Linked DNA regions of Mus musculus: region 2 is reported to be linked to region 1. Evidence: microRNA targets listed by miRTarBase, many of them from high-throughput screens and not tested one by one. Region 1 holds a microRNA gene; the other region holds the end of a gene's coding sequence.

The links. Region 1 holds the annotated microRNA mmu-miR-465c-5p (UAUUUAGAAUGGCGCUGAUCUG, at 1,360-1,381, opposite strand). A microRNA usually pairs through its seed, bases 2 to 8, with sites in the 3' UTR of a target mRNA and lowers its output. Matches are read on the target gene's strand: a 7mer-m8 pairs with bases 2 to 8, a 7mer-A1 pairs with bases 2 to 7 and ends in A, and an 8mer does both.
Region 2: miRTarBase lists Arl4a as a target of mmu-miR-465c-5p. Seed matches in the 3' UTR shown: 7mer-A1 at 2,823-2,829, 7mer-m8 at 2,736-2,742 and 7mer-m8 at 1,818-1,824.

Annotation. Positions count from the first base shown.
Region 1 is chrX:66,831,207-66,835,274 of GRCm38, forward strand. Mir465c-2 (microRNA 465c-2) reads right to left here and starts at 1,391; the gene lies at 1,311-1,391.
Region 2 is chr12:40,032,509-40,036,576 of GRCm38, forward strand. It overlaps Arl4a (ADP-ribosylation factor-like 4A), which reads right to left. Exons shown (of 2, transcript NM_001039515.1): 2 at 783-4,068. The coding sequence ends at 3,636. Among named protein-coding and RNA genes, the nearest start is that of Arl4a, 3.4 kb to the right of the region's middle.

The sequences.
Region 1 (4,068 bases):
TATGTAGCAGAGGACAGCCTTTTTGAGAATCAATGTGAGAAGAGGCCTTTGGTACTGTGAAGGCTTGATACCCCAAATGTTTGTGAATACCAGGGCAGGAAAGTGGGAGAAAGTGGGTGGGTGAGGTAACACCCTCACAGAAGCAGGAGGAGTATAGATGGGATAGGGGGGAAATTGGTAAATGGGAAAACATTTGAAATTTAAATAAAGGAAATATATAATAAAATATAATTAAAAAACAGTATAGAGAGTGGTAAAAACAGGAAATCTTGGAGTATCTAAAAACCTTGTATTTTATTACATAAGAAACCTTAAAGACGTATTCACCTATCTTCCCCCTTCTTGATTTTCTTGTGTTTTCCAAATTGTATATTGAGTATTTTAAGTTTATAGGCTAATATCCCCTCATCAGTGAGTACATATCTAATGACATCTTTTGTATTTCGGTTACCTCACTAAGAATGATATCCTGAAGATACATCCACTTGACCAAGAATTTCATAAACTCATTGTTTTTAATAGCTGAATAGTACTCCAGTGTATAAAAGTACCATATTTTCTGAATCCATTCCTCTGTTGGGAGACATCTGGGTTCTTTCCAGCTACTGGCTATAATAAATAAGGAGGCTATGAACATAGTGGAGCATACACTATAGATAGAATAACAATATGAACTATCCAGTATCTCCAGAGCTCACATGTAGCAGAAGATGGCCTAATTGGCCATCATTGGGAAAAGAGACCTCTAAGTCGTGCAAACTTTATATGCCCCAGTACAGGGGAATGCCAGGGCTACGAAGTGGGAGTTGGTGGGTAGAGGATCAGGGTGCAAGGAGAGTATAGGGAACTTTTGGGATAGCATATGAAATGTAAATAAGGAAAATATCTAATAAAATTTTAAAAAGAAAAAAAGAATGAAACCTAAAAGAAATGGATGTATTTCTAGATGAATATTATCTACTGTAGAGCAAATATGAAGGCTTGATCTCTTGTGAAGGGAAATGGAGAAGAGAAGTAGATTTGGTGGACAGGGGAAGTGTAGGGCAGGGGCTATGAGGTGTATAGAAAGAAGTAAACTAGAGTCTGGATGTCATACATGAGGAAAGAATAAATAAATAAATAAATAAATAAATAAATAGATAAATAGATAAATAGATAAATAAATAAAATATAAATAAATACATAAATAGAAGTAGAAAAACAAGAACGTGGATATGTGCAAGCTCATCCATAATTACAGAAGGCACTTTACATGTACTTATAGATACTCTGAATATTCATCTACGAGTCATATTAAACGTAGAAGTTGGTAAGCCTTACTCTACTTAGAAAGGCCCTGATCATTTTTTTTTTATTCATCAGATCAGCGCCATTCTAAATAGGGCATTGCATACAAAGCCTGTAATGAAATGTTCACACATTCATAAACAGTCTTCTTAGCTTGATCAAACCTCTAATTATAGCCATTAAGGGCCAAGTAAAGGGTCATACAGAATCCTTCTACTATAGAAGTTTCTTTTAATATATATGAGAAATCAAAATAGAGTCACTAAATAATGGGGAAAACCATGCTCTCAACTTTACACCTTTCACCACCAAGTGAAACATGCAGTGATGAACTGTTTATATCTAGTTGGATCATTAGCCAAATGGTTTCCTCCAGCAAACAACTTAGGCTTTTGTAAATATTTTGTAAATTGCAAAAACTCTTCATAAGGTGATATTATTGAACAAGGAAGTCAGAGTGGTACCTGTAGAATCAGCACCTCTACTAATCAGCATTCATGGTACTGAAAGTTACTCTGAATGATACCAGAGGATAAATGTAACCATCAACACAACTACAAACCATGTGCTCTACATGGTGATTTGCCTACATGCTGTACTGGTGAAATAGTGGCACAAATGCAATGCAAGTAACTAATTAATCTCTCAATGGTTTTAAGGCCTGCTGTACAAGATGGAGCCCATATCCTGGGGTCAAGAATCTAAGTCATGGGCCTAGGAAAGAAACACATGTTCTATTTTTCTTCTAAATGTACAATTAAATGACTCCTAAGGATGTTCTCCTATACGCATACCAGTGTCTTGATCAGCCATAATAAGCTAGTGGATGGAAAAACACAGACCCAGAATTGGGCAGGATGCAGAGAATGAGAGAATTTGAACAAATACAGGGCAATTTCAAGTCAGTATTGCCTCAGCTAGATCCATCACTCTTAGTAATTTTATCACTGTACTCCATAGAGTTTAGAATTTATTAACTGACCTCTACTTATAAACTCTAGAAAAGAAACCAAAATATATTTTAAACTTATGCCTTTGCCCAGATTCCCTACCTGTTTTAACACTAAAGTATGAAATAGTCATCAATAAATTTGGTACCTATTCCCCCTATTGTACAAAAAATTAGTGTTCTAATGTTCCTGGGTAGATAGTAACTGCATATATACTGCCATTTACACCCAGAGTACAACAATTTCAGGGCATGATGATCCTTGTTTTTACACAAAGATTTGTTCTTCATGTGTTTATAGGACTGAAACAAATCAAGACTATAGCCTGGTATATAGTGCTGATTTCACGTATCTTTACCCTTCCCCATACTTTCAACTGTAATTATAACATAAATAAACATAATATAACATACATAAAGTACTAGCTTTCATCCTGTTCTACTTAGGAAATTCTCTCACTATCTATCAAAATTCTCCCTGAATGTACATTTACTCATGTTTTTTCTTTAAATGAATACTCATCTCTGTAACAAAGCAATATGTTGACTACTATTTTCTTTTTTTGTCTACTTTACTACAATTATTATATTTGGCTTATTTGCTTTTACTATTTACATTTGTTTTCTAACCTGTACATTTTACAATAAACAATTCTCTGGTGAATACACCCGAAGTTACATTGATATCAAGACAGTTACCATGCATCCTGCTATCAAAAAGGTTTATCTCTCACATGTTGAAGTTTTAACCAAATTATATCACCACAAACATTGTATGAGTGAGATTTACTTCAGACAAAGAAGTCCTGGAAAAGATCTAAGTCACATAAGTTAACTGTTTTGTACTGCCCGAACATGTCCCATCATATCCTAGAGACTTTGTCATACTCCTAGAAAAGACTTGGGACTGTTCACAGGGTCCCCAATAGAGGAGTTAGAGCAAGTAATGAAGGAGATGAAGGGGTTTGCAACCTATATGAAGAACAACAGTATCAACCAACCTGAACCCCATACCTGCTATGGACTAAACAACCTACCAAGAGTACACATGGAGGGACCCATGGCTCCACCTGCATATGTAGCAGAGGACAGCCTTGTTGGGAATCAATCTGAGGAGAGGCCTTTGGTACTGTGAAGGCTTGATATCCCAAATGTAGGTGAATACTAGGGCAAGAAAGTGCGAGTAAGGGGGTGGGTGAGGTAACACCCTCACAGAAGCAGGAGGAGGTTAGATGGGATAGGATGGAAATGGGTAAATGGCAAAATATTTGAAATGTAAATAAAGAAAATACCTAATAAAATAAAATACAGAACAGAGAGTGGTGAAATTCAGGAAAACATGGACTATGTTAAAACCTTCTATTTAATTACATTAGAAACCTTAAAGAAGTATTCACCAGTTGGTCTTCCCTCTTCTTGTGTTTTACAAATTGAGTATACTAAGCTTATGGGCTATTATCCGATGCTCAGTGAGTGCATAACTAACCACTTCTGTCATGATTGGGTTACTTCACTAAGGATGATATCCTCCAGATACATCCATTTGCCCATGAATTTCATAATCTCATTGTTTTTATTAGCTGAGTAGTACTCCAGTGTATAAATGTATCACATTTTCGGTATCCATTCCTCTGTTGGGAGACATCTGGGTTCTTTCCACCTTCTGGCTATTGTAATAAGGCGGCTATGAACATAGTGGACCATACCCTATAGGTAGAACAACAATATGAACTAAGCAGTATCCCCAGAGCTCATATGTAGCAGAAGATGGCCTAGTTGGGCATCATTGGGAAGAGAGACCTCTAGGTCTTGCAAACTTTATATGCCCCAGT
Region 2 (4,068 bases), not on the chromosome of region 1:
GCTTGTGTGGCCATTATCAATGATACCATACTGCATCTGAACAAATCCCTACTCAGTAAGGACTTAAACACACCATTCCCCTTCTCAGGCTACGTGAGTCTACATGTCACTTAACATTAATGTCACTTAAACATTGGCAAGTTTCAAAGGATTTGCTCAAAGAGCTAATTGTCTAACAAAAATGCCAAGGTTTAGCACTAACTCTGAACCTCAAGAGTTATTTATTGATTGATTGATTGATTGGTTTTGAGACAGGTTTCTCTGTGTAGCCCTGGCTGTCCCGGAACTCACTTTGTAGACAAGGCTGGCCTTGAACTCAGAAATCTGCCTGCCTCTGCCTCCCAAGTGCTGGGATTAAAGGCACGTGTGCCACCACTGCCCTGCTGAATCTCATGTTTTTAGTAGTATGATTATTCTTCTCCAAATCTATCCTCTCCTTAAATACCTCTGTATTTTGAATTTGCACAAAATTGAAACATTCCCTGGCTGCAGTCTATTGGAAAAATCTTTGGTCTCCGAGTACTTTAATATTAATTTGTGAATTTTTGGTATCATTTGCTCATATGGAAGTCTCAGCTAAAAAAGAACTTGACTATTTTACATCAATACTATCCATTTCCAGAATGTCCTGCAAGAATGAAATTTTAATATGAAATCTTAATCTAAGTGTGATAGTATATGCTGATAATCTGAGGCAGCACCCAGAAGATGACATACATAGACCTTATTTCAGAAAAACAATAATAAAAAATTGAACTTCAAATGATAGTCTAACGCAAGACTCCAAGTTGCATTAATTTATTTTGAAGAAACATTTTGTGTTTTGTTACCGCTAAAATCATCGTTTATATGATAAAACCATTACATTAAATAGAACACTGATACACTATACCAGATTTCTCTCATGGCCACTATAAACAATTAAACTCTTCTAAACAAGCCATTCTGGTAAGTGATTTATTTTTCCTTTGCAGTGCTAGCACTCAAACCCAGAGCCCTGTACCTGATAGGCAAGCACCCATTGTACCCATAATCCCAACTCGTACCAAAACATTCTAATTATGTGCCCTTTACTCTCATTCTTAAGCTATCATCCAGTTACCTACAGACTAGTAGTCATTGACTTCCATCTACATATCCTAACACTGCAGTTTTTAGCTTCCTGTAAGGATTTTATGATTATTAATGAATTTATCTAGGCTAAACCATAACATTTATAATCTATTTTAGCATAAGTTTGGATATATGACTCTTTAAGTATCAAAGGATATTTTAAAACTTTGCTTGCTAGTAGTAATTTTAAATTAGAATGTTTAACCCAATTAATACTTTGTATAAACCAACTCATTTCCAATACAGTTAACTATTTTAGAAATACACTTTAGGTGTTGGGAGATGTAGTTCATTGATGACTGCTTCACATACAGGAGGCCCAGAGTTTGATCCCTGACACTTTAAAAAGACAAATATACTTTGAAAAAGGATACTTTTTAACTTAAAATTAAAAACCTACATAGATTCATTAGCTTATGTGATTAATAGCTTTAATAGGTGATATACATTTTGAACTTAAATTTTTAATTGAAGTGGCTCACATAAATACAATTTATGCAATGGCCATTTTGCTGTTCTATAAATAAGAACAACATGGACTTGATGGTCCAATTCTAAGGTACAGAACAAGGGTCAAGAGCTAGTGAACACAAACTTTTGTTTTGTTTTGTTTTGTTTGAGACAGGGTCTCTTTATGTATCCCTGGCTGTCCTTGAACTCAGAGATCTGCCTCCCAGTTAAAAGCAGAGTGAAAATTTACACTGATTTAGAATTGAGGAAAACCAGCTTTATGATCCCATCAAGACTAGGGATTTGGGGGAGAATACTGAACTCAGTAAAGGGTGGGGTGGGGGTGGGGTGAACCCCCAGAAACTAGCCTTCTGTGGAAACCTCACCAGAGAAAATCCACACTAGTATAAAACTAAACATTCCAGCTGATAAACGTTCTTCTTACACATCTAATTAAAAGCTACAGAAGTGGAAATACATATAAACTCCAAGTGAGATTGTTATCCTAATGCCTCCAGCTGTTTATTGGTAACTATTCTCCACAGCTCTACTCCTAACACAGGCACATTTGACATGGACGCTCCACTGGGTGCTACGTCATTTTGTAACAAGAATCAAAGTTCCAAAAATTCACCTGTGTCACTGAAAAGAAAAAAAAAAGTAAAAGCTCAAAAATCAAACCGAGTCCTGTTAGCAAAGTGCACTTCCTTTGGTGATTTCAGTACAAACAGCTGTTGGCTTCAAACATAGGAAACATGCTGATTTGCTGTATGTGATTTCTGGAAATAAGTCTTCCTGGAGAGAAAAATGAAAGCTCTCCCCTCCTTGTAATTTCATTTTGTTTTTATTACAGAAGAAACAGCACCAGTTAATTGTCTTAAAATGGCTTTGCTACTTCTCCCGTTCATTTTCTAGGCTCCTAATTGCTATCTGCACTACTGTACCATTTCTTCCTACAACCAGAGCTAGGAAGCTCTGGAAATACTGTTCAGCCAATTAACAAAAAAAATTAAAGCTCAGAGCACATACTGAAAGGTACCTTACATTTTCATTCCACGGTGTATCAAGTAATTATAAAGCTTTCATTTCTCCCAAAATGCTACAAAAATATATGAAAAAAATCCGTTTCCATCCGGTAAATAGTAACAAAACAAGTATCTTTTAACTAGATCATTTAGAGACTATGTATTACAGTAATTCCCTCTAACTGAATTCACCACCACTTTCTCTATAAATCCATTCATGTATTCAAGCATATGTATTTAGTCAACATACTCATATTTACATCAGTCATTTTTTAGGTTCAAGTAATAGTGCGCTTCTGACAATGAACTATTTCTACAATAGCTCCAAGACCCCAAAATGTTGTTTTAAACCTGTGTAGACAGATGCATAGCTATTTCTAAAAACTATACACCAAAACATGCTTGTCAGGAAAACTAACCCATGCACTTGAATATACCCCAAATATTTTAATTAATGCTAGACCAACTAAATTAAACATTTTCTAGAATTAAAGAGATAGCATTAAATTGTTTCCAGAATAACGTTAAAAACCACCTTGTCAAAACCTCCAGAAAAAATACTTCCTTCTTATCGCAGCGTGTTCAACTTAGCTGTGTGTGCATGTGTACACACTGATCTCCCTTAACATTTCCATTCATTAGCATTTTGTGTTTACAAAGCCTCGTTTGCAATTTCTTGGCAAAGGCTTCCCCCCAAAAGATACAAGCACAAAACACTAGGGCATACACTCTTCAAAGTTTTATTTCACTAACTTCAGGTCAAATTTCCACAAAATTGTTTTCTGGTCAATTACTAGCCTTTTTTGACTTCCCAAAATGGTAGTACCAAAAGATTTGTGGGTCAGGGAGAAGAGACCACTTTAAGAAGCATTGCATTGACTCATCTTCCACAAGGCAACAGAGTTGGGTATCTGACTGTTCAACAAAACAAAGCTTTAATAGCATCCATGAGGGCAGACAGGCAAACCAGGCTGTAGACACTCTTCAGCTTGTCAGAAATCAGACCCAGGAAAACCTATTCCACACCAATATAAAAGGTACTGCCATTCATCTCTTCTTTTTCTGTTGCCGCAACATTTTTCTCCTTTTAATTATCATATCATGTAGTTTCTCGAGTCCTTCCTTTAGCCCATCTCCTATGATTGCACAGGTGGGCTGCAAATGCCAAGGAGTCGATGAGCTCAGTTCCCCCATTGCTAACAACTTCTCAATCTCTGAGAGAGAGAGCGAGTTCCTCAGGTCTTGTTTATTAGCAACTATAAGCACAGGGACTCCCTGATTTTCGGATATCCTAGTTATTTTATGAAGTTCAGTTTTGGCTTCTTCCATTCTCTCAACATCGACAGAGTCCACCACAAACACAATACCATCTGTGCATCGGGTGTATGACTTCCACAGTGGTCTTAACTTCTCTTGACCACCTACATCCCAGAAGTGAAAAGTGACTGTTTTGGAATTGCCCAAGGTTACCTTAATTTTC